Notamacropus eugenii: one gene and its partners. The protein of the gene in region 1 interacts with the protein of each later gene in a pairwise test. Links are inferred from orthologs where the notes say so. Each region holds a gene or a part of one and is shown in the gene's direction. Other genes may lie near its edges. The genes, in order: NAB2, TCEANC, RFC5 and NEDD9.

Region 1 (7,207 bases):
TATATATGCATAGCTTTGGAGAACCACAGGTCACTTCCACATCACAATAAGGCACCACATCTGAGGAGCATCTGGGGAAGAACACAGACAAGAATTATGCGGGATGAGAACATCTAGAGAACCCACGATCTGAACCACTGGAGGGAGTACACACGCCAGTGAGATCAGAAATCCATGTAAGCAATGAGACTCATTTGGTGATGCTTTTTGTTTCCCTGCCCATTTCTTCTCCAACACTTCCCCTCCTCCCATCCTTTGCTTTTCTCTTCCTTAAGCATTTTCTTAGGAAACTGGGCTTGAAGATCCTGGGTCCCTGTTCTCTAAATCAATTCATATTACTTCCCTCCTTATAGAATCCTCACACAAATCTGGATTAGTGAACAACCAGCATTTCTAAGAGCTATGTGACTGACTGCACGTATATAACATATAGCGGATTGCTTTCCCAATATAAGGAAGGGAGAAAAATGTGGAACTTAAAATCTTATAAAAATGAATGTTGAAAATTGTCTTTATATGTAATTAGAAAAAATAAAATACTATTTACATAAAAAGAGATACGACCCTGGGCAAGTCACTTAATCTGTTTGCCTCAGTTTCCTAATCCATAAAAAAAGATAACACCTACCCATCAGGGTTGCTGTAAGGATATCAGGAGATAATAACTGTCAAGTGCTTAGTACGGGGCCTGACACATAGTAAGCTCTATTAATGTTAGTTATTATTATTTCCCCACCTCCATTTCTTCTCGCACACAATATTATCCATGCCTGGAATACCCTTCTCCACCCACCCCAAACTTTTGAAATCTTAGCTATCCTTTAAGGCCAAATTGAAATACCACCTCCTTCAGAAAGCCTTCCGTATTCCCTAAGTCATTAATAGCACTTTCCCCTCAAGAATCCACTCAACACTTTTCTTGCAATTCCTCTAAGTACCTAGCAAGTGCTATTTTTTAAACTGTGGTTACTTATGTCTCATATCCTCATACCTCCAGAATGGTAGGAACTATCTTACCCAGCATTATGCTCTACAAAGCAGTAGTTGCCTTACAAGGGTACTTACTGAATGTTTAGTAAAAGGAATTAAATTAGAGGAAGCAGGGAAAGGGAAGAATTAGTCTGTGAACAAATAGTATAGTCCCCAATGTAATAAACTGCACATTATACGAAAACTCAAAACTGATAAAGAGCTCACTATTTCTGCTTTGAAAACCAATCGAAATGGGACCTTAGAGAAAAAAATGGGCCCTTTTCCCAATCAGGCAAGAAAGTGGTTTAGGGAGTGAGGAAGAGGGAAAGCTTATAAAGAAAGTGTTTTTTTTTTCTTTTCATTTGGTTCCCGTGAAAGAACAGGCTTCTAATTTGGTTACTGTCTCTATTTCTCTTTGTGTCTCTATGTAGCTTCTTAAGGCCCAGTTTTTGTTTCTTTGTCTCTCCCTTTTCTCAGGTCTGGAAAATCCTTGTTCTCAGAGGAAAGGAGTAGGAGGAGAATTGGAGGATGGTTGAGAGGAGGAGGAGAACAGACATCTCAGCAGCTCTGGCTGCGGGGGCGGCTGTGGCCGAAGGTGGAGCCTGACAATTCATTGATTTTGAAAAATAACAAAATCCACTCATAAGAACCCAGAGATACAAACACTCACAAGCACAAAAACACGCATCTAGAACACACAATTCACTTGGACAGCGACACACAGTATCAACCCCAAAAGATACAGTCACACTCTCAAACATTCAGGACACCTTCCAGGCCAAGTAATTGTCACCACTGTCCTACCCTGCCACAACTTACCCCCTCGGCAGATACAACCTACGACCTCAGTGGGTACAGTGTGGGGGAAAGCGCTCCCTCCTTTTCTTTGGGGAGTTCAAGGACTAACAGCTCTCACCGTCCCTACCAAACTCCTCTTGCCCCACATCAGCAGCGAGGCAGGGAATGCAGGGGGCGAGGGAAGGAAGAACCGGCTCCGCCTTCTGCCTCCGTCTCCCCGGCCGGGTCCCGTCCCAACCTCCTCTTTTGCCCTGCCCCGAGCCCTCGACTCAGGCCTCCTTTCTCCTCGCTCCCGGCTCTCCCTCCGGACCCAGGGGCTCGGCGCCTCCAGAGGGCGTCCGGGTGGGAGGGAAGGAGGCAGGGAGGGGGCGCCGAGAGCCCGAGGCTGCGGGGGTGGAAGGATGTGCGTCATGGGGAGCGTGGGCAGGAAGGGGGGCACGTGGAAACCCGGGGCCGGTGGCTGGCAGCTCAGGCCCCAAAAATAACCGAGGGGTGGGGGAGGGTCCACCCACGCTCGCGCCGGGGCTGGCGTTCCAGGGAGCCCCCCACCCTCGTGAGGGCAGCCACCAGCAGACGGACACAGCTCCCTCCGCCCCATGTTGGGCACCCTGTGGTTTGGAGAGGGTGAAGGGGACAATCTTATTTGCTCAAGTCTCACCCCCACCCCGACAGGAAATGCCCCAACCTCCAGGGAATGTAGACCCAACGAAAGTAGAGAAAGTGCGCCCGGTGCCTCTAACCCTCCCCGGCACACCGCCCACCCGTCCATTTCAAGTGTTGCGTGAACGCTGTTGAAAATTAGGGCATGTGGAATTAGAGTCTGGGGGCTTGGAGGCTGGGGAAAAGGCTGTCCTCTCCTGGTTGCTTGCCTCTCCTCTCTTTGTTGTTCCCCCCCTTATTATCTTCGAGTCCTGAGGAGTGGGGTGGGGTGTGTACCCCCCGCTTCCCCCCCCTTTCCAGCCGTGGGAGTGAGTGTAATAAAAACCATATGGAGCTGAAAGAAATGGGGGAGGCAGGGGGTTAGGGGGTAGAGAAGACTATCTGGATAAAGGCGGTTATTTGAAATTGCTCCACCCCTAGAATTCTGCTGTAGACCATCCCATATAGAAAACTTCACACATTATTTCCTGCCATTTAGCTATTCTGTATCACCAAGCGCTCTGAAAAGACCCCCTGCCTCCCCCCAGATGCCCTCAGTGCACTGCCTTACTTCTTAGGATATGACTTTTCTGGTGTAGAACAGCCAAGCTGAAGTTTGCCCCAAGGAAAATAAACTAGAAGTGATGAATAAAAAGGAAAATGGATTGGGGGGGGGGGGGGGGCGACTCCAATTTACTATCTGAGGTATACTACCTGAGGTATGCCTAAAAGCCAAGTAAGAGTCCCGCGGTTCACAATAGCAAACCAATCTTTGACCCTATGAAGTAACAAACTGGTATCCATTAGAAAATGTAAACAAATCTATTTGGTGGGTCCTAGAATTATCAGTACACATTCTGCCGATTTCTACCGCTGTTATCATAACAAACACCACTGTAAACCTCTAAGACAGAATAACAGGGTGAGGTTATATGTAGTCAGGGAGCATCTCTAAGGGTGACAGAAATCCTTAAACCCTATTCTAAAATTACCTTCTGGTTTCGGAGATATCGTAGATTCAGATCTGGAAGGAACACATAGCAATTGTTTTTTTCAACCCACTAGTTGGGTTTTTTTAAATAAATGAGAAAATCATGCTTTTTTTTTTAATAGAGGAGGAAACTGAGGCCCAGGGAGAGAGGTAGGGGAATCTGCCCAAGGTCATACGGCTTACTAGCCGCCGAGGAAAGATTAGAACTGACTTCTAATCCAAAATCAAAAGGCTTTCCATTAAAAGGTAGGAGACCAGATGAGTTTCCAGCCGGACGATGATACTGTCCCAGAAGACCCTTTCCAGAAATACCGTCTCACAGTGCACACACTGCGAGTCTCTATCTCCATCCTTCTTCCCCATTAAGCTAACACTAGAAGGTCTAGGAACCAAGGGACCTAGATTGTAGGGGGCTGGTGTGACTCTGCATGTGTCTCTCTGTGTGGTTGTGTTTGTGTAGCTGTCTCTGTGCGTACCTGTGCGTGGTAGTGGAACTCCACTCTCAGGTTGGCAGGGTCTGGGAAGCTGGAGTTGGGGGGCAGGGATGGATGCCTGCTTGGGCACTCACGTGGGGGCGGGGGCGGAGAGAAGGCGGGTTTTGCATCCGGAGTGGGCAGCAGAGAAAGCTCCTAGTCCCGCCCTTAAGATACTAGCCCGCCCTCTCCAGCCGGGCCTGGGTCACCTAGTCCCCTGCTCGGTGCCCCAGCCCCAAGTCCCCGCCCCTACCCCACCTCCGCCTCCGCCCCCGCATCCGCCCCCGCCTCTGTCTTTCCACCGCCTACTCCTTTTCCCCACCCCCCACCCCCCTAACTTCCTCCTGGCTCGGCCAGTCTCTTTCTCCGTTCTCTCTCCCGGGCTGAGGTCCCGGCTCCCGCCCACCGCCTCCAGCTTTGCCCACGCCCCCAGCCCGCCCGGCAACCAGCGCAGCGCCGGGCCCGCTCCCCCGTGCGTCCTGCGGGGGAGGAGGCGGTAAGCGCAGCCGGGGAGGGGGGCAGAGGCAGCGAGACACAGCTACAGAAAGAGGAGACGTGGAGGCAGGGACGGAGCCCGGACAGCGGCGGACACTACACGGAGCACTGGGCACCAGGTATTGGGCACCGAGCTCCTGGAGCAGAGCGAGGAGTACTGGAAACCGCCAAGGGTACCCCGGAGGGTCTCCTACCGTCCATGCACAGGGCGCCCTCCCCTACTGCTGAGCAGCCGCCGGGCGGAGGGGACAGCGCCCGCCGGACCCCGCAGCCCAGAGCCAAGTGAGTGGGGAGAAGTGGGCTGGGCTGGGCTGGGCAGGCAGTGAAATGATTCTGGAGGGGGACTGGGTATGGGGAGCTCAGAAAGAAAACAGAATCGAGAGGGAGTGGGATGAAGGTGAGGAGAAAAAGGGTGGGGGCTGTGAGTCCATAGAAAAGGAGGCCCAGGGCTCTGTTAGTGCCGAGTATAAGGAGAATATTACCTAGTCCCTCATTTCCTGCCCCAGGCACAGCTTGACGGGGTAGTTGGTATCTGGAACTAGGAAGCTCCATCCCTAGGGCAAGCCCCATCGCTTAGGGTTGGCCTCGGCGCCCCCGACTGGTTTAGCTTTAGGACGGCACGAGAAAGAGAAAACAGGCTTTTCAGTTGCTAGAAGCAGACCTCTTTGAAGGAAGAGAACACAGAGCTATCTCCTAGGACAGAAAGGGATGCATTAATTTCCCTTAATTTCTGGTTCTTTGTACACAGCTTGAGTGCAAGGGGCCTCTATTGTAGCCCCTCCATCATTCGCTCCCCTCCTCTTCTGCAGAGGTGGATAGGAATAGGGAAGAGGTGGGAGGTAGGAGGTGGGGGCCCCAGGGGCGTTTGCACCCACACACTCAGCCACTGTGGAAGTCTGCGTGGGCAGGACAGCTCCTGAAGGGAACAATGAATACACCCCTATCCTTCTTTCCCTTGGCACCAGGGCCTGGGAGGCCTTGGGGGCCATAGAAGGGGTGGAAGAAGGTCACTACAAAGATGGGGAGCGGGGACACTCAGAAAAGGAGCAGTATGGACAGAAGGTCAAGGCCTTGGAAGTTGCTGGTGGGGGAAGGGAAGTGCTGCTTGGGTGGGTAGGGGATGAGCCACACCCCTTTCAGCTCAGCTTTCAGAGAACTGGGGCTGGGGGAGGCCCTATTTTCCCTGAGCTCTTCTTGAAGCCCACTGAGAAGTAGAGCAGATCAGAGGTGCTTTCTGTCATGCCCTGAGAAGCAGAGAGATGTCCTATGGGTTGGGGAGTGGAGTTTTGATATTACTGTGTACTCAGTAGAAGAGGCTTGTAGAGTATGTTGGGGAGGGAGGAGTGCTTGGCCATACTAGGTATATACTGGCTTCAATTTAACTGGCATGGCAGTTAAATGTGGCACTAACTGCCATGGATTTCTGATGCTAGGATGAGAGAAAAGCATGATGAGTGAAGGCAGAGAATGAGGACTGTGGGGCCTTGGGTCCTGTTGAGGTTAGGCACCAGCACTTGTTATTTGCTGTGGCAGATGCACAGCTGTGCATGGCACATAGTAGGTATTTTAATAAATACTTCTTAATTGATGCAAGTTTACCATGGTATATTGGCTTCTTTCTGGATAGCTCCCACTTTCCCAGATCTACTTAGTCTTCAGCTTGAGCAGGTGAATAATGAACCTTACACAGAATGTAGAAACTCTCAATTCACAAGGAGGAAAAATAGACTGAGGGGTTGGTGACAAACCAAGGGAGCTTCCTTGACCTATCTTCTTCCTGTGTGCCCCTTCCTAGGCCCAGTGTTCCAACCATGGCACTACCCCGGACACTGGGGGAGCTGCAGCTGTATCGAGTCCTGCAGCGTGCCAACCTCTTGTCCTACTATGAGACCTTCATCCAGCAGGGGGGGGACGACGTTCAGCAGCTGTGTGAGGCAGGAGAAGAAGAATTCCTGGAGATCATGGCACTGGTGGGCATGGCCACCAAACCTCTCCATGTCCGACGTTTGCAAAAGGCATTAAGGGAATGGGCCACCAACCCAGGGCTCTTCAGTCAGCCTGTGCCTGCTGTGCCTGTTTCCAGCATCCCTCTCTTTAAGATCTCAGAGACAGCAGGTGGTCGAAAAGGGAGCATGAGCAATGGACACGGAAGCCCAGGAGACAAGGCGGGCAGTGCCCGAAGCTTCAGCCCCAAGAGTCCATTAGAACTAGGAGAGAAACTCTCTCCCTTGCCTGGGGGCCAGGGAGGTGGAGATCCTCGAGTCTGGGCAGGCGGGAGCACTCCCGAGTCGGACGTTGGTGCTGGTGGAGAGGAAGAGGCCAGCTCTCCTCCTTTCTCCCCACCTGCTGGGGGTGGGGTCTCAGAAGGGCCCGGGTCTGGTGGGGTGGGCGGTGGTTCAGATCGACTAGAACCAGAAATGGTTAGAATGGTAATCGAAAGTGTGGAACGTCTCATCCGGAACTTCCCCCGGGGAGACGCTGGGGAGGTGACGTCCCTCCTCAAGCTGAATAAGAAGCTAGCTCGAAGTGTAGGGCACATCTTTGAGATGGATGACAATGACAGTCACAAAGAGGAAGAAATCAGAAAGTACAGCATTATCTATGGACGCTTTGACTCCAAGCGCAGGGAAGGCAAACAGCTCAGTCTGCATGAGGTAAGGACCTCAGGGTCCCCCTCAGAGTTCATTGACCTTTCTCCCCTCCTCCCCCTGCCCATGCTATAATCTCTAGAAATCCCTGACCTCCTTCAGTACCTATAGGTTCCTCAGATTGTTGGCTCCTATACCTGACTTGACAGAAGCCCTCATCCCCACCAGAATGGAAAAGTTTGATATAAAAG
Region 2 (7,189 bases), on another chromosome or scaffold:
ATGGACTTTAGTGGTGTGGCTAAGACTAAACTCTGTTTGTGGCAGAAATTGTTTGGCATTGTCTCCTGTTATGGTTTAGACTTAGGCTGAGTTGGATCCTCACTGCCTTCAGGGGTGGGGAACCTGCAGTCTCAAGGCCACATGTGACTCCCTAGGTCCTCAAGTGCAGCCCTTTGACTGAATTAAAACTTAACAGACCAAATCCCCTAATATATAAGGATTTGTTCCGTAAAACTTGGACTCAGTCAAAAGGCCTCACTGAAAGACCTAGAAGGCCACATGTGACCTCTAGTTCCACAAGTTCCCCAACCTTGTACAATTAAACGATGCTCCCAAACCTGTCCTGCTGCAGCTAGGGTTCTGAGGCTGCCCTGTGCTGGTCACTGGCCTTTCTCCCTGTAGAGTGTAGGACTGCAGTTTTAGAATTCTACTGAGGATGTTTTGAGAATCTGGGCTTCTCTAGGTCCTAATAAAAGGCCATCTTCCTATAATTCTCCCAGTAATCTCCCCTCCTAATTTATGAGAATGAACTTCAGAAATGCATTTTGCTATTTCATATTTTAAATAGTAAAAAATAGTGTCTTATTGAGTAGTTACTGATTCATAGTGCACAATCTATGCTAACAAAATCAAAATGGAAAAAGTCTGCTTTTAAGTCGTATTTCAAGTTGCAAGTTGTCAAAGTTCTTATTTTTCAAAAAGTGAGCATAATGCTGCCCTCTGCTGTACAGTACTGACACAATAGTATTTTTTAATCACAAATTTATCTAATATAATTTAAAGCCAACCTACACCATAAGAATAAACTCTATTTCATGCAACAATGTATATGTTGTTGACAAAAACGTAAATACCCCTAGAGAAATTTTCATTTCAATAATTATTGAGTACTTTACCTTGCAAAGAATTGCACTAAGCAGTCTTCCAGGTAGCTGGTGAATAATCAGTTTAACAATTCAATCATTTTAACCACTTGGACATGGAAGGAAGGAAAAACATAAGGGCAACGGGGGCCCAAGGAAGAGAAGAGGTGGAGCAGAGTTTATAAAGGAAAGCATCACCATCCCTTCAGTCACCTAGGATTACAAACTCTGCACCATCCTTAATTCTTTCCTCTCTGTTGAACCTCCCAATTCCAATCAGTTATCAAGACTTACTGCTTCTATCTTTACAATATTTCCTTCCTCTCTACTCTCATTGAAACTACCCTTGTCACCTTCTACCTGAACCACTGAAGTAGCCTCCTGACTGGATTCCCAGATATCAGTCTCTCCTCCCTTCACCCCTACCCTCACCTTCACACACACCCCACCCAGTCCACCCACCCCCTGCATCCATCTTGCATACAGTTGCCAAAATAACCTTCCTTAAAAACCAAGTCTGACAGTATCATTGGCCTGCTCTAGAGCTGTGAGGTACTCCCTACTGCTTCCAAGATAACCTATAAACTCTGGGCCATCTCTGGCTGTCCTGATGAATGCCATGCCACTGGACCCAGATGGCTAAGGAGAAGAAAGTGAGATTGGTGACCTTGCACAGCCCTCCCTCACTCAAATCAAAGTCTACTGAAAGTCATGTCATGAGGTCACAATCCTCTTCAGGAACAAAGGACAAACACAACAACAACAATAAATTCCTCACCTTGCAATATAAAGCCCTTCATTTTTGAATTCTGATTTAGCTTCCCAGGGTTTAAAGCACATTAGTCCCATTCACACAGTCTACGTTTCAGCCTTTTCCCAAAATGGGCATTCTATCTCTGCTTTCTGTATTTTCACATTGGCTATCTTCTCTACCCAGAATGCACTCCTTCCTTACCTCTACCTCTTCAAAACCCTGGTTTCCTTCAAGGCTCAGCTGATATTCAGAAGACTTATAGAACCTCCTAGTTGTTAGTACTTTTTCCTTCTTACTCCAATTAATGTATGTTTTTACCTGTTTACATATTACATCCTGACAGTATATTGTCAGCAGAAGCTCAGAAGGAGCAGCATGGTTCCCATTTTTCAAAAATTATCTCCAGTGCCTAGCAGAGTGTCTTATACAGAGAAGGCACTTAGTAAATATTTGATTGGATTGGTTGGTTTGGAAGCTGGGAGGTAACAACACAAATTGACTGGAAGGTAACAAATACAAAAGACGATACAAACTACTCTCGCCAAGGACTATAGCAATAAGGACCATATGCTACCACAAACTGATTGTTGCTGATGTCTAAATTAAAATATCGGAATGATTTTTAAAATTTATTTTAGTTTTCAACATTCACTTTCATAAGTTTTAAATTTTTTCCGCACCCCTTCCCCAAGATGGCATGCAATATGATATGGCTGTACACATACATTCCTATTAAACACATTTTCGTATGTCATGTTGCATAGAAAAATTATAAAGAATGGGTACATGAGAAAGAAAAAACAAAACAAAAAAAATAAAATGGTCTGCTTCGTTCTGCATTCCAGCTCCATAATTCTTCCTCTGGATGATAATGGCATTACCACCATGAATCCTTTGAAATTGTTTTAGGTCCCTGCATTTCTAAGTCTATCAAAATCAGTCACTGCACACTGTCAAAATGATTTTGAAAGGTTTCAAACCTCATTTTCCTCCATTTCATCCCAGTATTTCTAATCTAGCTTTGTCAGGTCCCAATCTCTTCATCTCAGCAAAATCTTCTCCTGTTCACTCTCCCTTGCTAAGAAGAAACAGAGAAACGCGCGCGCACGCGCACGCGCACGCGCGCACGCACGCACGCACGCACACACACACACACGCACACGCGCACACACGCACACACACACACACGCACACACGCACACACGCACACACACACACGCACACACGCACACACGCACACACACACACACACACACACACACCCCTTTTATCCTCACAGCCTTATTATCAGTACATTGTCCAGTTAAATCTTTGGAACTTTGGAATTTTACCTTAATGACTCAGTTGATGTTAGGAATAAGGGAGAGTAGGGTGATAGAAATAAAGGTAAATACTTGGTAAGACTTCTAAATGGTGATTTATATGACCTAGAGAAGTCATTCAATTGTAGCATAGCCCTCCCTACCTTTTCTCCCAGTTACACCTAAATTTAAGGTAAACTTTATGTTAGTATCCATTCATTTCCACAGCAAATAGGCTTCCTGATACTTCCCTCTTTTGAGAAGATATTCTGACTCAAAACAAAGCCATTTAATAGCTTTGGAAAATAATGAGAAAAACTTCCCCATATACAACAGGCACACTCTTTCACAGATTCCCATACCGTTGATGGGAGAGGGAACAAAGTGGTCTGACCAACTCAGAATCCTAAGATTGTGCCCCAGATGAATTATGCCCTAGACCTCCAAAACTCCCAACTGTTTTCACCAAAAAACTTCACCAACGCGCTGATGATGTCATCTACTAGGCTGTTTTACTGAATAGAGCTTGCCATCTGCTACTTCTCCACTGCCGGGGGCCTCTTTTCCACAGAGGAATGGTTAAAGCTCTTTTGCGAATCATCTCATAATTTCAGTGCTATTTGAGTTCTTTTGTGAGTCCATACTCAGCTAGAATAGCAAGACTCTCTTAAGTCAAATATATATTTTTCTGATTACTACAATTCCTCCTAAGTCAAAACTCTCCCATCTCTTCCACAAAGTTTCCCCATTGACTATGAGTTCCTTGAGAGTAAAAACTGCTGGGTTTTGCCTCTCTTTTTATCCCCAGAGTGTTTGGCATATAGTGGCACTTAATAAACGTTCACGGATCTCTAATTTTCAATCTTTTCTTTGTAGGATTACAAAAGAAACCAGTTCTATTGCAAGTTATACAATTTTTTAAGTTCATGAACCCCAGGTTATGAACCCCCAAGGGGATTCAACACTGAGATGCCATCCAATAAATATTTTCCCCAAAGGCAAATTCTAACTTCGTGCCTGTATTTGCCTGCCCTTTCAGATAACGAGAAACGTTCAGAAACATGTGCTCCTTCCACAGAAAGAACTTGAGATGAAATATTTCCCAACCAATTTCTAACGGAAGAGGCATCTTTTTTCCTGTCTGGTTACAATCCAGGTTTATAGCAAGGTGTCCAACAGACACTGAGTTAAGCAGCTGGAATGTGCCAGGCACTAAATCAAGAACAAAAAACTAGGCCCCGCCTCAAGGGGCTCCCTTCCTCTGGTCTGGCCGGCTGTCAGTCCGTCATTCAAAGCATCAGGAAAGTGACGTCATGACTTGCAAGTGAATTGGATTTAAGTGAGGAAGTCTCGTAGTCACGGAGAGCTGACGTTATTAGGTTCAACTTAAATGTGCATCTGGGATCTTGGGCCAAATAAAAGGGAGATTCCTATTCCTGACTGAGATGACGCAGTCGGAAGGCACGGCAGGGAATCCACAGAAACGGGAAGCAAAGAGACTGATAGGACGGGCGGAAGAAAACTCCGTAGATCGCACTGCGCATGCTTCAATCACGTATGCGTCTCGCCTTGGCTCCTCTGATTGGTTGAGCGTCTCCCCTTCTCTCCAATCCTCTTCTTCCTTTCTCTCCCACCCTCTGTGAGCAGAAGTCGTGTCCGGCAGGCTGTTAGCTTCCCCTAACTGTCGCGTCTACCTGCGGACAGGTGAGCAGGGTGCGAGGGTCAGCCCTGGGGAGAAAGGCGAACCGCAGGAAGCCTCCCCTTGGACGCTAACGAGGCAGTGGGGAAGGGAGCTCGGGGACGGTTACGGCCCCGCCTTTTCCTAGCAGAGGTGGGGGTTGGGGGGGGAAGAGGGGAAGGGCGCAGCCGCAGTCCAGGCTTCTCGCGCCTCCCCCCCGTCCTGTGACCTCTCCGGTCACCCCCAGCCTTGGCTTGGCGCGGGGGACGGGCGTTGCATTCTGCCCCTCCTCCCGTTTCCGGTGTCCCGCTGCCTCGGGCTGGAGATTGCTTTAGTTTCCACGGACTCCTAGATGTAGACTTAGAAGGGATCTTAAAAGCCCCTGAATCCGCCCCTCGTTTTACTGGTGAGGATGCTAAGTTTAAAATTCGATATTCAAAAATATTTAATTCTTGTGGAATTGTTTATTCCATTTTATTCAAGTTTTTAATTTCCCACACTTTTGTCTGAGTTTCAGCAACTAGAAAGGAATTTTTCTCTTTTAACTCTTTTTGAAGGTGGGGGGGGATTTTAAATTTGAGATTTTATTGTATTCCAGCGAGGGAACCCCCACCTTGACATGCAGCTTGTAGAGTGAGCGGGCATGCTGCTGTTACTAAGAACAAAGGCAGATCTGTTTTCCAGACATGTTGGACCTGTACAGTGTTGCCAATACCATGCTATGAAGTGTGAGAGATAAGAAAAGGAGTTTTTAGTCAGTTTCTCGTACCTCCTCAACGCATGTGTGAAGTCAGGTTAAAATCAATACTGGGGACAAAAGTTACAATAAAGGTCATATCAAAGGTTTGTCTACAAGGGGTAGAGCCTTTTTTCTGGGGATGGTGGGAGATGGGGAATATAAGTGGAATTTTTTTTAGATTATCATTCAACACATTTTTTAAGCATTTCTCTATGTCAGATGCTAGGCTGATCTCTGGGGAAGTCACAAAAAAGCCGAACAAACCGGTCCCTACTCTCAGATTTTTTTTTTAAAGCCTCAACTGAGTTTCATACTCTTAAGGGTGGGAAGTGAGCTAAAAAATAGGAAGTGTAGTTTAGTGAGCCAGGATTGACTGTGTTATCTTCATCCATATGTTACCAGAAACATTTTCATTGAATACAGTTCTCAATGATTTTATACCACCCGTCCTCATTCCATTTTCTGAGATTAAGCAAACTTGCAATCTAGTTAAAGATTACATTTCTCAAAACAAAGTGAAGTGTTAAGGTAATTAAGTGACAGGCAGGATTATGAAGATCATCCTTTGTAGGTCCCCCAGCATTGTTGCCCCTAGACTTTGAGGGGAGCCTTTCACCAATAGGTATTTCCATCATTGACAGCTTGTCATATGAGGATGCAGCTGTGAAAATACATATGATTGGTTATTTAGATATATTTGGAGCTAGTTACATCACAGTGTACTTACAAGTAACTTTTACTATCTGCTTCCTAGAATTACTCCAAATTGTAACCATGTTCATTACTGTTCAATTGAAATAGGAACCCCCTTGAAAGAACTTTTTAGTTCTTTAGTTTACAAAGTAAAACTTGCTCTGTAACTAGGAAGAAATATAAAGTCTAGAATGCAGAAAAAACATTTCTGTTATCAGTTAAGTGTGGAAAAACCTCATAGGAAATGGATAAAAAACTCTTGCTAAAAAATAAAACTGCAGACCTTGTCCCATACAAAGAAATCTCTGTCAATTCTCATTACAGGATGGTAGTTTTTGGGGATTTTTTGCGCGACAAAATTCTGAAGAGACACTTTCCCTGAAAGGCCAGTTGTCCACAGTATAATTCGAAGACTTACCATGTAACCATAAATGCTGAGGAACTAGAAAATGCAGACAAAGTATGATAATGCTGTCATTACCTTTGTTGCCACCGCCTGAGGACAGGAAAGATGATATAAGCTTACCCACTATGTATAGACAGGTAATTACAGATTTATAGCATGCTTAGCAGTATATAGCTTTCTCCAGTTAGTATGGAGTTCCCTAATACTAGAGAGCTATGCTTAGGTTCCTGAGTCCATTTTATTTATTAAAAAAATGATAATTTTTGTTTTGACACAGCAGACACTTTTCAACCAAAGCAGAGCTTCTCTCTCCACTAATCAACAAGAATTAAGCAATTGTTATTCATGGAACATAGAAACAAAAGTAAAACATCAGCTCCTGTCCTCAAGAAGCTTACCAGAGAGGCAATGTACATACAAGAATATACAGAGTATATGCAAAATGAATACAGGGTCATTTTGATAGGGAGTAAACTCTCAGAGAGGCTTCATATGAGCTGGAGCTGAAAAGTAATCAAGATTATGAGAGGCAGAATTTAAAAGAGAAAGAAAGCATCCCAGACCTCTAAAGCAGCCCATGTAAAGACTTGGAGACAGGAAATGCAGTTATATGTGTGTGAAATACCAAATAGGCTAGAATGGCTGGATCATAGAGAACATTGAAGGTAATAATATGTAAAAAGACTGGAAAGGTATAAAGGGACCAGGTTATGAAGATAGGTCAAACAGGAATTTATGTTTGATCTTAAATCTCT
Region 3 (7,826 bases), on another chromosome or scaffold:
ATCCAAACCAAAGTGTGACCACATGTGGTCTTGAAGCCACAGGTTCCCCACCCCTGGACTAGAGGTACAGAAAGACATGCACTTTCACCCAGGACCAATGTGTGGATTTACTTTGCTTGATTATATTTATTTGTTACAAGGAAAGGTTTTTATTTGGAGGAGGGACAACAGTGATGATGATGCAAATAAAAAGAAAAGATAAGAAAGGGCAGCTGTGAAACATTTAAAAATAGGTAGAGAAGAGTATAGAAGGAGCCACGTAACACAACTATTCTAGGCTGTCAGGAGATTTCAGGCCCCTGACTCTGGTTCCAATTCTGTCCTTAACATTCACTAGCTCTGTAACCCTGGGCAAATCTCTTGACTTCTCTGAGACTCATTTGCCATCATCTGTGAACTGCAGATAATAACACCTAACAAGGTTATGTGAGGTTTAAATAGTATATAGGAAGCACTTTGCAAAATTTGTAATTCTCCATATTATTGTTCAATATAGTGTCTCTGCCCCTCCCCAGTTTCATGTCATCTATCTGCACTTTTGATAAGCAGGTTTTCGATGAAAAATGTCAGCTTCTTGAGGTCTCAAATGTTTTTGTTTTCATCTTTATATTCCCAGAAGCTAGGACAATGTGTTACACACAGTAGGGCTGCATTAAATTGTTAAATGATGCCTTCATTCAAGTGTTTGATTTCAAACATTAGTACAAGGCTACAAAGCTAAGCAGATATCTCTGCATTAGAAACCTCCCTTCAAGGTGACACCAAGATATTTTTTAAATTTTATTTATTTGTTACATTTTCAGTTCCAAACTGTCTTCCTCCCTCCCTCCCCATCCCACACTAGAGAAAGCCACTATTTAACACAGATTTATAAATATATCTAAAATTATACTATGCATACTTCTGTTTATCAGTTCTTTCTCTGGAAGTAGATAGTATCTTCCTTCATGGGCCCTTTTTAGCTGATTTGAGTATTTATAATGCTCAGACTAATCTGGTTGTTCACAATTATTCTTCAAACAATATTGCAGTTATATATACAATATTCTTATGGTTCTTCTCATTTCACTTTTTATTATTTCATGCAAGTCTTTCCATGTTTTTCTAAAAATCAATCAGTTTATCATTTCTTATGGCATAATAGTATTTCATCAAATCATACGCCACAGCTTGTTTAGTCATTCCCCAATTGATGGACATCCCCTCAGTTTCCAGTTCTTTACCAAAACAAAGAGAGCTGTTACAAATATTTTAGAACATATAGGACATCAAATTATAAATGATTACTCTGATTCTGAACATTCAATGAGTTCTGAAATCATACTATTTTGCTATTGTCTGGGCTACATCTTTTCCACATGAATAGTGTGAAAGATTTTTGTCAAGTGCTTTGCTGAAACTGAGGTATGAATGAGTGAAATGAAACATTTATTAGCCCTCACTACGTTCCAGGCACTGTGCTGTAGCTACATCCCTGAAACCTAACAGAATGCCTGCTCTTACAGCATTTAATAAATGAATGTTGACTGATCAACTGATTGGAAATACAAATACAAAATTGAAGGAGTTCTTATCCATGGAGTTTATATTCTATGAGTGGGAGGCAACACGTATAGGGGAGTGGTAGCCAAGGAAGGATGTTTTGGCTTGGGAAAACACAGACATGATGGGTATGTTGGACAATAGGACAGTTGGTTGACATGTTTGATGCACCTTTTTCAAAGTAATGGCAATGTTGACCCCAGATCAACAGCTGGGAATGGGTTTTATGGTGAGTCAAATGGCAAGATGACCAGAATGAAGAATGGCCAGATCTAGAACCGGCCAGAGTGGACTCTCACCAGTCTGGTTCACAGAGGCTTCAGAGCAAGAGATTCAGAGTAGAATGACCCAGATCCTTTAAGGCACGGTCTCTAGTCAGAGCAATAGCAAGTAGAGGGTAGATGGAAAGATGGTTATCATCCTTGTAACTCTGCCAGGAAAGGAAACTCAACAAGCACTTATTAAGTATCTACTATACATAAGACATTGTGTTAAGCACTAGGGATGAAAAGCCACAAAACACCCCCCTACCCTCCAACAGTTTACATTCTGCTAGAGAATGCAATACTCATCATTTTAAAATACAAGATAATTTGAGGGAGAAAAGAACTTTAACCACTAAGGTAATCAGAAAAAGTTTAATAGAGGAGATGGCACCTAAGCGGAACTTCAAAGGAAAGTAAAAAATTCTAAGAGGCAGAAGTGAGGAGGGCATGCATTTGAAAGATGGGGAATGGGTTGTGCAAAATTGTGGAGATGGGAGCTGGAGAGTCAAGTTTAGGAAACAGCAAGATGTCCAGATTGGCTCTTCCCATTAAGACTGTGAACTGTTTGAAAGAAGGGACTGGTTTTATTTATCTATCCACTCATTTGTTTGTTCATTCACTTATCTATTTATTTAACTAAACATCTATCCAATCATTCATCCATTTGTTTCTCTGTCTTTATATCCTCAGCACTTAGCATAGCATCTGACACATAGTAGGACTTTAAAAAATGCTAGCTGACTTGACCTGAATTAAGCTCATGTGAACAAGGGTAATATAAAATCAGCCAGGAAAAATGAGCAGCAGCTAAGGAGTTTGAGTTCTAACCTACAGGGAATAGGATTCATTGGAATCTCTCGGGCATAGTGGTGACATGGTCTTATTGATGATACAGGAATATTCATTTGAGAACTGTGTGGATGATGTATTGAAGTTGATTATAACATCATAAATCTAAAGCTGGAAAGACCTTTATCTAGTCATCCTCTAGTCTAACTGCATTATAACACAGATAAGGAAACTGAGGACCAGAAAGTTGTGACTTACCAGAGGTCACACACATATCAAGTAGCAGAAGCTTCAGTTAGAAAGCAGGTCCTTAGACTTCAAATCCAGCAATTATTCCACTCCATCAAGGAGACCAAAGTTGGGGGAAAGGTAGAGCAGGGAGACAGTAGTCATTGAAAAAGTTCAAGCAAGAGGTGACCTCCTCCTAGGTCACCTTCTGGTTTCCTTTAAGGCTCAATTTAAATCCTGCTTTCTGCAGGAAACCTTTCTTAAACTATTCATTTCTAGAGTCTTCCATCTGGGATGGAATCTCAGAAATACCAGATTCCACCCCAGATAGAATCCTTCCAAATTATAATACATATGAGGCAGCTAGGTGGTACAGTGGATAGAACCTTGGATGAGGAGTCAGGAAGATCTGAGTTCCTATCTTTCCTCAGAAATTTACAAACCGTGTGGCCCTGGGCAAGTCATTTAACCTCTGTCTGCCTCAGTTTCTTCATCTGTAAAATGAAGATGATAATAGCACCTACTGAGGATAAAATGAAACGTGTATAAAGTGGTATAGAAATACTAATTGTTATTAATAAATATATGGTATGTGCAATTTTTTGTACATTGTCTCTCCCTTTAGAAGGTGAGGTCCTTGAGGGCAAGGCCCTGTGTTCCTGTTTTTGCCTTTCTTTGTACCTCCAATGCTTAACACAGAGCCTGGCTCTTATAAGACTCTGATAAATGCTTGTGTATTGGACTGACTTACTGGTGGCTATAAAAATAGTAAAAAAGGAGACAATGCAAGAGGTATTGGGGAGGTAAAAATCAAGAAGACTTAATTACTAGATATAGGGGAAGCAAACATAGAACAACCAAGCATCCTCTCTCAAAAAAAAAAATAGAATGCTAGCTCTTTGAAAGCAAAACTCTTTCCTTTCTTGTCTTGATATCTCCAAGACTTAGCACAGTGCCTGGCACAGAGCAGTTACGACTTGTTGGATGAATAAATGAATGAAAGAGTGAAGGAAGGAATAAATGAATGAGTGAATGATTAATGAATAAAAGCACTAATAATGGAAGGAGGGAATGAATAAATGAAAGAATAAAGATTTTTAAAGCACCCACTATGTGCTAGGTACATTTGTAAATATGACTTCCTCTGATCCTCACAACTCTATGAGGTGGGTGCTGTCATTATCCCCATATATCCCCATATCCTCAGGAAGGGAAGGAGGAGGGAAGGGAGGGAGGGAGAGAGGGAAAAGGGAAGGGAGAAAGGGAGGGAGGGGGAGAGAGAGAGAGAGAGAGAGAGAGAGAGAAGGAAGGAAGGAAGGGAGGAGGGAAGGGAGGGAGGGAGGAGGGAAGGAGGAAGAGAGGGAGGGAGGAGGGAAGGGAGGGAGGGAGGAGGGAAGGGAGGGAGGGAGAGAGGAGGAGAGAGAGAGAGAGGGAGAGAAAGAGAGAGAGAGAGAGAGAGAGAGAGAGAGAGAGAGAGAGAGAGAAGGAAGGAAGGGAGGAGGGAAGGAGGAAGAGAGGGAGGGAGGAGGGAAGGAGGAAGGGAGGAGGGAAGGAGGAAGGGAGGAGGGAAGGGAGGAAGGGAGGAGGGAAGGAGGAAGAGAGGGAGGGAGGAGGGAAGGAGGAAGGGAGGAGGGAAGGAGGAAGGGAGGAGGGAAGGAGGAAGGGAGGAAGGAAGGCAGACACGTGGACTCCTTTCATGCGGCGTCCCCCTGATGCATCCCTGCTGCTCCCTGCTTTTCCTGCACCCTCACCCTCTTTGCCGGACCTCGCTCTCCCTTCCTACCACAGACTCTCCGCCCGAGCCTCTCCGGACCTGGCCACGCAGCAGGACCAGATGCTCTGTCCCCAGCCCCTGCCTCTGACAGGCCCGGCCTGACTGCGCCTGCGCACGACGCGAGCCTCGCGGTTACCTAGCAACCCACTCCCAGCCTTAGCAACCGAAATGGGCGGGGCGAACTTCCCGAAGGGGTGTCTGGGAAGAAAAATAGCAGGGGCCGGGCGGGCTCGGTGGCCTGGTCAAGTCTCGCGAGAGCAGAGGCGGCGCATGCGCGCGCGCGCGAGCTGTGGCGGGAAAGGAGATGCAGGCCGCGCTTTAGCCGATTTCCCGCTGCGCTTAGGTCTGTGGGTCCGCTCAGGGTCAGCGCCGCCATGGAGGCCCCGGCCGTCCGGCAGCAGCCACAGCAGCAGCCTGCGGCCAAAAGCAGGAACCTGCCCTGGTAGGGGGCCGCGTCCGGGGCGGGGCGGGGCAGGGATCCCGCAGCCTGGAGACAGACCCGGGCGTGGGACTGCGCCTAGGTGGGCAAGGGGCTGGGTTCAGAACCCAGGGCGATTCCAGAGGACGGTTGAGGAAACCGAGGCCCGGGAAGGGACACGTAGGGGCTTAGAGTTAGAGGTGGGGGCGATCCCAGAGAGCACCGAGTGAGGTCAGGGCCGAGAACAGTGAAAGTGACGGAGGGTCATCGGTTTAGGGCTCGACGCTCTTGGCCCCTCCCCCTCCTTGACAGTCTCCACTGTAGGTTTTCAGGGAACCCCCCTCTCTGGGCCTCCTCCTTATCTGACTGGTCCTTCTCAGCCTCGGACTTGGCTGGATCTTCCTTCAGATCACACCCTCTGTCCAGGACCCTCTTTATGTTCTCCTTCCGCACCACTTCACTTGGTGACCTCATCAGCTCCCCTGGATTTAATTATCATTTCTATGCTGATGATTCTCAAATCTGCTTTTCCTGCCCCAAACGCTCTACTGACCTCCAGTCTCATATATCCAACTGCTTCTCAAGCATCTGGAACTGGTTGTCTGGCAGATATCTTAAACTCAGTATGTCCAAAACAGAACTCCTTATTTTCTCCTCATTACCTGCTACCTTCCCTGTGACCTTCAAGGGTGCTACCATTCTCCCAGTCCTGCAGACCCACAACCTAGGAGTCATCCTGGTCTCCTCACTATCACCCCCCGGATCCAGTTTGGTACCATGGCCTGTCAGTTTCACCTCTGCAGCATCTCTTGTCCATTTCACTTTTGCAACATCTCTGGTAGTTTCACCACTGCAGCATCTGTCCATTTCACCTTTGTAACATCTCTGGTCATTTTCACCTCCAGCATCTTTCAAATATGCCCTCTTCTGTATCACTCTATCTCCTGCTGTCACTCTGGTGGCGACCCTCATCAGCTCATATCTGGACTGTTGTAATAGCCTGCTAGTGGATCTACCTGTCTCCAGTCCTAGACTCTTCCTGCCTTTCTAGTCTCCTTTCACCTTACTGCCCTTTACCTACATACTCAGATCCAGTGGCACTCACCCATCATAGAAAGATACTACCATCTCCTGACTGGGTATTTTCCTTTTCCATAAAATGAAGGAGTTAGGTTATTCCAAATCCACTAAAAGTAAAATTGTAAATCAAGATGTTGTGGTTCTATCTCACACCCAGAGATTGGCCAAGATGATAGCATCGTCAGTGTTGGAGGGTCTGCTGAAAGACAGAGGCACTAATAAGAAACAATAGGAAGAATTTAGAGGAGGTTGGAAAGATGTAGGTGTTCTTGTGAGTAAAGTAAGCAGAATCAAGAAAGTTCAATGACTGCATGTCCCACCTACTCCCGAGTCTAGTCAGCCTTACCTCCACTGCATGTCCTGTCTCTGCTTCCACCCCCAACAACTCTCACCTAGACATGTGCTGAAGCTTCCTCATTCCCTACCCTCAACCCCATTTCAGATTCCTCACAGTCAGCCCACATTGCCCCCAGATGCCAATGTGATCTTCCCAAAGCCTCTATCTCACAGTGTCATGCTTTTGCTCGTAGGGCTCCAGGGGGGCCCTTTTGCCTCCAAAATCCAATGCCAACTTCTTAGATTAGCACTTAAAGCTCTTCACAGCCTCTCTTTTCAGACTTGGTATACTGCTTTTCCCCTTTATGCAATCCAGTCATACTGACCTAATTAATGTCCTTCACACATGATTTTCCATCCCCCAACCTTTGAACTAGTTGTACCCAAGCCTACAGTGCATTCCTTCACCTCCATCCCTCAGAATCCCCAGCCTCCTCCATAACTCAGCCAGGTGGGCTCTCCTGCTACAGACAGGGTCTTTCTTGATCCCCCACAACTTCTAGTGCTTCCCCCTTTCATCCCCAAAATTACCTTGTGTTTATTTTATGTAATTTTGTATCAGTTTATGTGTACACATTGTCTCCTGTGCCCTGAGGTAAGCTCTTTGGGGGCATGAACTGCTTCTGTCTTTGCCATTTTTGTCTCTTCTGCTAGATTTAGTTCCTGGCATTTAACAAGCTCTTAATGAATGCACAAAATAAACAGAACTTCTCCCGCCCCCAAAAAAGCTGAATACTTTTTAGTTTATAATGATTAAGTGTTACCTTGGAGAAGAGTTGAGAAAATATTTCTCCCTCCCTTCTTTGCAGAGGTGGAAGAGTGGTATGGAATGGTACATATACAAGGCTGCATATGCACGATAAAAATTGTAAAATTCCATTCTCTAATCATAACTTATCTCCCTAAGCCTCTTCTTCATATTTCCCATGACCCCCACAGTGCACTTTCCCAGGCCGTCACCCCATTCCAGCTCCACTTCCCTTCCCAATTTTGATCTTTAGTTAGTCAGTTCAGTTACAAGCCTTCCTCTGCTCTTGAATCTCTTGCACTTTTGTCCTGTTAGAAGAAAAGGAGGATTTATTAAGCACTTGGCTGTGTGTCAGGTATATTACAAATATTATCTCATTCAATCCTTACAACAACCCTGGATCAGTAGGTATTGTTGTAATCTCCGTTTTACAATAAAACTTGTCCAGGATCAGACCACTAGTGTCTGAGGTAAGGTTTGAATTCAGGTAGGTCTTCCTGACCCCAGTCTCACCACTCTGTCCACTGAGCCCTAGCTGCCTCTGTTGCTGCCCCTATCTTGCCAAACAGTAACCCTGGATCTTTCCTGTTCTCTGCCTCCTGACTTCCCACTGGCATCCTGCTGAACAAACCAGGACAGAGTCAC
Region 4 (7,199 bases), on another chromosome or scaffold:
AAAAGAAAACCTGAAGCACAATGCTAAAGGGAAATGAAACCTTGGCCAGCACCCATCCACCAAAAGCTCCGTCAATTTTTCTTCCCCAGGAAAAAGCAACTTCTGTACTTTGCATCTAAGCTGTCTGAAGAAACTTTTGCCAAAGCATCAGTTTTACTCATTTGTAGGAAACACGGAAAGCAGACAGCCATGTGTGACCTTCACTGACTGCCGTGCAAGACAGACTGCTCAGCTGGGGCTTGGGGGCTTCAAGCCAACAGGAGCGAACACTTCAAGGCATCCCTCTAAATGAGGAAGAATGAGAAGGGAATGGGGTAAATCATCCTCGGGACTGAGTCCTCCAGTTTATAGGATGTTCAGCATATGGTGATGGAAAGAGCTCTGGACAAGAGAATCAGGAGATCTGGGTTCAAGTATGGGTGGTGCTGTTTCCTAAGCATCTAACCTTGGACCATTCGTTTCACTTACTCACCTCAATTTCCTCACTTCTAAAATAAAGGAGTTAGACTAGTTGACTTCAAAGTTCCCTTAGACCTCATATACTCTAAGACCCAATCTTTTCTAATCTGCTCTAATAAAATGAGCCATTGCAGTAGGATAGATAATAAAAACAGCTAGGTGGCTCAGTGATTAGAGCACTGAGATTACAGTCATGAGACATGAGTTCGAATGTGGCCTCAGACACTCATCAGCTATGTGATCTTGGATCAGTCACTTAGCCATGTTTGACTTAGTGAATCAAATGAGCCGAAGAAGAAAATGGCAAAGCACTGTAGTATCTTTGCCAAGAAAACCCCAAATGGGCTCACAATGCATCAGACACAATTGAAAACAACTAAGTAACAATAGAAGATAAAGGAAGAAACACTAGATTCTGTATAAACACTGATACACAGTAGGGAGATAATCAGGAAGACCTGATTAAATTCTGTCTCTGACACATAGTGTAATCCCTCTGAGGTTCCTTCCCCAATTCCAACTTGCACCTAGAGGGTGGCTGCTACTATGCTCAGAGCCCTAAGGGTAATTCTGAATGGCTGGACTTCTACTACTGTTGTTCACCCACTCCACAACTGTGTTTCCCATTGACATCAGCCATCGAAATTCAATTAGCTTTGAGGAAAGGGTATTTATAGAGGGAAGGAAGGAAGGAAGGAAGGAAGGAAGGAAGGAAGGAAGGAAGGAAGGAAGGAAGGAAGGAAGGAAGGAAGGAAGGAAGGAAGGAAGGAAGAGGAGGGCGTGAGGGAGGATTTATTAAGCACCTACTGTATGTCTGGCACTATGATAAGCACTGCAGATTTCTCATTTGATCCTCACAACATCCGTGGAAGATGTTCACTCAATGGAGTAAAGGGAAATAGAAGTGAAGGGAATTGCCTAAGGTCATACAACTAGCAAGTATCTAAGGGTGGATTTGAACTCAGGTTCTCCTGACTTCAGGTCCAGCACTCTATCCACTCTGCCACCTAACTAGTGGTACATTCTCTCACAAATACACAGAGACCAGGGGAAGAGTAGGATGATGGTAAGCCACACATGTAGAGAACACGTGGATTAAGAGCAAACTTGTAATTCTCAATTACTGGAAGTCCTTCCTTGAGTCCATAGTCAGCATTCTTCTCCAGTACAAGAGGTCATGTTCCCTGGAACTGCTTCATCCTTCTGCTGGCTGGCTAGTTCTCTATATACATGTGGCCATGTTTGCCTCCAGTGTGTGCTCTAGATGCTACTATCCCATCTAGCTATTAACATGGTCATTGAGAGAGAGAGGGAGAGGGAGGGAGAGAGAGAGAGAGAGAGAGAGAGAGAGAGAGAGAGAGAGAGAGAGAGAGTGTAGGGGATGGGGAAGAGAGAAAGAGAAGAGCCTGGCTGGAATCCTCTGAAATGAAATCCTCTACCACTAGACCAGTCCACTATTTTAATGGACAAGTGCTAAAATTTTTCCAGCTACTTAAAGACCCCCAGGGGTATGGTTAGATTGTTCTGGTTAATTACACATACTGTATACTTCTCCACCCAATTACAAAAGAGTTCTCACATGGATAAAGTAATCACACAGTGCAGACAATCCTGTTCACATGCCTTTAAAACCTAATCATGTCTCTGAGGTGGAGAGTTTCCCTTCCTTACAAGCATAACGACTATATGGCCTTGGGCATGGCACTTAACTTCATAGGTAATTTTCCATGATTACACATTTCAGAGCAGAGGCTGGCCTGTATTAGTAGAGAGGCTTTCTTTCTCTGGAGTTCATTACACTAATGAAATCACAGGTCTGATTAAAAACAAAACAAACAAACACAACATTTGATTTTGTTTCTCCAAGGAAATGAACTATGGTCCCATACAACAAATGTAAGATCCCCAAGTGTTGGAAAATGTGTCAATACAGGCAAGTATACTTTTCTCCCTGAGCTTGTTTCCTCATCTTTAAATGGATATGAGAAATCTTGCAATGACCTACTTCAATTCTACTCTACTCAACATGCATTTACTATGTTTCCCCCTGTAATGCCAATCAATGCAACACACCCGAGGGCAGGTGCTGTGAATATATTTGTATATTTATTTAGGGTTGAATTGCAAAGTAATAAGCTCTCTATTTACTCAAAACCAAATCCTATTCAAGAAACCAAAGCGTTATACAATCAGGAGATCCCAAGCCAAGGTCTTCCCTTACACAGCACATCCCCAGTGGTAGCAGAAAATATAACACCATCTACCCCTAGGTCACAATAGGTTATGATCCCCTCAATTCAGAACAAAATGTACAAGTCCTCTGGGGGGTATGTCTTTCTCTCCACACTGCTGTTGCAGGCTCCCACCTGGCATTCTCGGGTGCACACATGCTTTGATGAGCCCAGAGAGTCCAAGTCCAAATCCTAACACTGTTCCAGTCTCCGCTTCAAAGTCCTGAGGGGCAGCTGGGAGAAAGCCAACAGGGTGGGTCCCAGGGGACCACAGCACTTCCCCCATCCCACCATAGACAACTCCGCTTCCCTGGGTCCCAAGTCAACCCAGGGGCACACGGCAGGAAAGCATACTCACTGCTCCTGTCCTGTTGTAAAGTCACCATCTTGACACAGGGCTAATTTGTGAACAGAGGAGTTTCTCCTCCTTCAGGGTCCGACCACTCCTGGATCCTGCCTGGGTTCACATGCAGACAGCTCCCTGCTCCTGCTCCATATCCCACCTCATGGGAAAAAGGACTGCTCCATTCCAAGCTCTACCTGCTCTTGCCTGGGTCCAGGTACTCTGGCCTGTACCACCCCAACTCCATGACAGCTTATCTTCCTCCAGCACATGGGGAGAGGGTTACTCCAGTCTGGGCTCTGGGCACAGCAAAATAATACATTAACCAGAAAACAACAGATAACTAATCCAGTCTCACTAAGCCCACACTCTCCTTTGGTACTTTATTCCAGTCCAGTGTTTCAGTGTTCTCACAAGGGTTGGTATCAGAGGTGTCTTCTCTCTATCAGAGGTCTCCTCTTCAAGCCTTGATAAGTGATTCACATTCACAGCTGGGGGGGCTCCTTAATAATGGCTAAACATCCTTATATGAGCAAGCCCCCCCAAGGTAGTATCTTGCCTCAGAACATATATATGTGTGTGTGTGTATACATACATGTACATATACATATATATGTATAAAAGGGTGTGTATATATATATATATATATATGTATATATATACCCTTTTAACTAATAAGCTCAGAGCAAGAAGGCACCAAACCTTTGTTACTCAGCACAGCTATGAATTACCAGGGTTCAAAGGAGATTGATCCTTCAGATATTTACAATTTAGTATAAGCCTGGGAAACTGAACTCCAAGAAAAAAAGAATCCCACCTTGCTTACACTTTTCCTCCCCCTGCCCAATGTGCCAAGTATTCTACAGGTGTATCTGTGATATATTTTGGGAGTTCAAAGAAGAAAGTCTTACCTTTACGGAGCTTACATTCTATTAGAGAAAGAGGGGAGAAGGAAGCACTTTGAAAACTCCCAAATTCTATGGAAAAACAAACTATTATTTTCATTATTATTTCCCACTTTCAAGCTTTCAATCTTTCTTTTCAGGAGCCATCGATGATCATTTCTATGACCCCACACCCCAACATGAGACCTGCTTTTGGAAGCTTTTTGAGGAGCTATGAAAAAGAAGAAATCTGTAATTGAATTGAAACCCTGGAGTCACTAGCTTCCTACTCCAGAGCCCCATCATTCCCTGATTTAACAAAGAGAAGAACTGAGAAAAATGTGGGAAACAGTAAGTTGTGATTGGACAGACATATTTTATTTAAGTACTACTTATCTATGTTGACTCAACAGGTGTACTAATATCAGTGAAATGATAATGCAAACTACTTTCTCAATTCCACCAAGGCTTTTAGGTAATATTGGAATAAAAGGACTAATTTTGATCTAGGCAGTGAGACTTTGTTGTGATGAGTCTTTAACACGGACAACAAATCTGAGAATTCTCTGGATGGTCAAGGCAATGCCAGGAGAAATGCCTCTTCCATTCTAAAATCTGACAGGGAATAATCTGAAATATTTCAAGAATAATCCATGAACTAGGGCTAGTGGCTAAAAACATCTAAATATTGCAGCCTTATTCAGGGAACAATTTCCCCAGGTTGGGAATGATTTGGATCTCTGATGTCTCCCCTACTTTTTATTCTTCTATTTTTCCTTGGGGATGAACACAAGATTTCATTGCTGATCATTAAACAAAGTCCTGGAGAAGAAGGGGTCATATCTTACAAAAATCATTCTCAATCACTTTTCCTACTTAGGACAGACAGTGTTGTGTCAGTAATGCTTAATGGTTTGGTGAGAAATGAGATTGACTGACTGTGATGGGATTTGTAGACTCTTTGTTAAGGTCTGTTATATGAGCTTTCTGCCTTATGGATAATTGAAAGTTAATTGCCTTTGATGTATGGATTGGTTTTGCAGATTTTTTTCTACTCTTTTTCTTTTTATTAAAATTCTTTGGTATAAGGGATAACTCTCTAGATGGAGAAGATATACAAGAGGAAGGCTATTGCTGTTCAGTCATTTCAGCTGTGTCTGACTCTTGCTGACCCTATCTAGGGTTTGTTGGGTTTTGTTATGTTTTTTGGCAGAGATACTGGAGTAGTTTGCCATTTCCTTCTCTAATTCATTTTACAGATAAGGAAACTGAGGCAAACAGGGCGAAGGGACTTACTCTGGGTCACACAGTTAGTAAGTGTTTGAAGCCAAATTTGAAGACAAATCTTCAAACAAATCTTCCTGACTCTAGGCCTGGCACTCTATCTACTCTGTCACCTAGCTACCTAAGAGGAAGCCTAGGAGATGTAAAAAAGGAAAGATGTCAGTAAAAATTTATTTTCAAAAAAGAAAACTAACTTCCTAGTACTAAAATATATATTATACTATTCAAGCAGTAGTGGTAATGGTAGTATATGTTAGGCTGAGCTAATGGGGTGTGGGGGCAGCGTTGTCATTCCCTGTCACTGACCTTTCACCTTTGTATGAATCTGATTTCCCCTTTTCCAGCCATTCCCTGGGTTCTTCTCAGAAATTACTTTCTCAGGCTATTCCCTTGGCTTCACCCCATTGGCATGACTTGGTTTTCTTTATAAGCCATACCTACAGGGGGAAAAAACAGTGGAAAAGGAAGGAGTCAAGATATACCTCCCATACCAGAATTTTATCTTAGCCTCCCCCAACCAAAGCTGCTGACGAGTTTACCTATAATGATTCAGGTTTAAGTTTCTCTCTCTGCATCAGTTAAGTTATAAAATTGAATCAACAATTCTCTTTTGTTCATTCTGAGCCTATAGGCCAGGAAATAGCCCTGTAATTGTAAAATTTATCTCCCTCATTCTCACCTGCCTCCAACACCCCACCCCCAACCCCTGGTCTTTTGCTCTCTCTGATACATTTTAGTGAAGAAAAACAAGTCCCTAATGATATGGTTAACAATGTTGTGACAGTTTTTTTTTTTAAAAGACAATTGAAGACATGGTGAGGAGGAAGGAAAATCAGGTTTATAGAATCAAACATAAGCTTCAGGAACAGATTCCAGGTTTCCTGAAAATGGAGAGGCAGGGGAAAGGAGAAGGTTTCAATAATCCTTAAACATTTCAGAGCAGAAAACATTTTAAAATATCACAAAATGTCAATTGTAGATCAATGTCTTCTTCATTCCGCTTATTCATTACTGAAGGAGTTTCTTCAGAATAAGCAGGTCTATTTAGAATTCACTGGATTTCAGATTCAACGTGGACCTCAATTACTGCAAATGGCTCTATTGATGCCCAATTTTTCTAAGGCCAATCTTGGTGTCAGGATATTTTGAGGCATTTTGATGCCTCAAGCTCACTTGTCAGTAAAAGCGCTGTGCTGAGCTTGGCAGAAGACTTTCCTCTCACTCAAAGTCACAGTGAATGCAAGATGAACATTCCAACAGAAGACACTGGTGAGCTGGGGGGGGCCATTTAAGTCTAGTGGCAAGTAATCACCACCAGTTATGACTGCCCCTGCGGCACAGTCCAGTAAAATAGGATTTGCCTAGATCTGCTTCATGGCACCTGGATCCTGCCTTTGAGGCCTGTATTGGTGCTGGCCACTTCCCATTATTACAACCCTGGCTCCCATTTCCATGATGGTTTTTCTTCAAACCACTATTTTTCCATTCAACAACTCGTCCTCATCCTTAGGGGCAGTTTCTCTCAAGTTAGCCTCTTGCTAACTTGAAATATACTTTCTACTCCCTGGTTTCCTCTTTTCCTTTCCCTTAGTTTTAGAGGGCTGACGTCCATCAAAGCCTAGCTCTAAGTACTCACAGGGTCAAGATAGCTCCCTTGGGGAAGAAGGAGAACTTAGATTTCTACTCACCAATGGGATCCAGAATCTTGTCATTGTATATATACACAGAAAAGAGTTATGACAGCACTGATGGAGGGCTAACCTTGGAGTCAGGAAAACCTGTGTTCAAATCCTATATCTGAAACATACCAGCCATTTGACCATGGGAAATTGTTTAACCTCTTAATGACCCAGGCAGCTCAGTACAATTACAGATAAACTGTCAACCTGCGAGAGTAAAGGGAGTTTCTTCAATGGGAATTCCCTATATAGATAAAATTACAGATCCAGTTCCTTCCCCTTACTTAAAAAAAACTCTAAAACCTCAATTTAGATATTA

What was found.
Region 2: the proteins of NAB2 (region 1) and TCEANC interact in binary tests that used the Homo sapiens proteins (3 or more experiments, as listed by UniProt). The two-hybrid records come from large-scale screens. The link is inferred for Notamacropus eugenii from reciprocal best matches to the Homo sapiens genes NAB2 and TCEANC.
Region 3: the proteins of NAB2 (region 1) and RFC5 interact in binary tests that used the Homo sapiens proteins (3 or more experiments, as listed by UniProt). The link is inferred for Notamacropus eugenii from reciprocal best matches to the Homo sapiens genes NAB2 and RFC5.
Region 4: the proteins of NAB2 (region 1) and NEDD9 interact in binary tests that used the Homo sapiens proteins (3 or more experiments, as listed by UniProt). The two-hybrid records come from large-scale screens. The link is inferred for Notamacropus eugenii from reciprocal best matches to the Homo sapiens genes NAB2 and NEDD9.

Annotation. Positions count from the first base shown.
Region 1 is NC_092874.1:232,432,186-232,439,392, forward strand, and holds the start of NAB2 (NGFI-A-binding protein 2), read left to right. Parts: upstream 1-4,195; 5' UTR 4,196-4,567; coding exon 4,568-4,650; intron 4,651-6,163; coding exon 6,164-7,022; intron 7,023-7,207. Other genes in the region: uncharacterized protein, read right to left, coding at 42-71, 1,889-2,539. UniProt on the Homo sapiens protein: Acts as a transcriptional repressor for zinc finger transcription factors EGR1 and EGR2. Isoform 2 lacks repression ability.
Region 2 is NC_092876.1:377,331,222-377,338,410, reverse strand, and holds the start of TCEANC (transcription elongation factor A N-terminal and central domain-containing protein), read left to right. Parts: upstream 1-4,185; 5' UTR 4,186-4,622; intron 4,623-4,804; exon of another isoform or gene 4,805-5,002; intron 5,003-6,352; exon of another isoform or gene 6,353-6,571; intron 6,572-7,189.
Region 3 is NC_092875.1:27,516,220-27,524,045, reverse strand, and holds the start of RFC5 (replication factor C subunit 5), read left to right. Parts: upstream 1-4,815; 5' UTR 4,816-4,973; coding exon 4,974-5,041; intron 5,042-7,826. UniProt on the Homo sapiens protein: Subunit of the replication factor C (RFC) complex which acts during elongation of primed DNA templates by DNA polymerases delta and epsilon, and is necessary for ATP-dependent loading of proliferating cell nuclear antigen (PCNA) onto primed DNA.
Region 4 is NC_092875.1:182,734,861-182,742,059, reverse strand, and holds the start of NEDD9 (enhancer of filamentation 1), read left to right. Parts: upstream 1-4,178; 5' UTR 4,179-4,256; coding exon 4,257-4,268; exon of another isoform or gene 4,269-5,638; intron 5,639-7,199. UniProt on the Homo sapiens protein: Scaffolding protein which plays a central coordinating role for tyrosine-kinase-based signaling related to cell adhesion. As a focal adhesion protein, plays a role in embryonic fibroblast migration.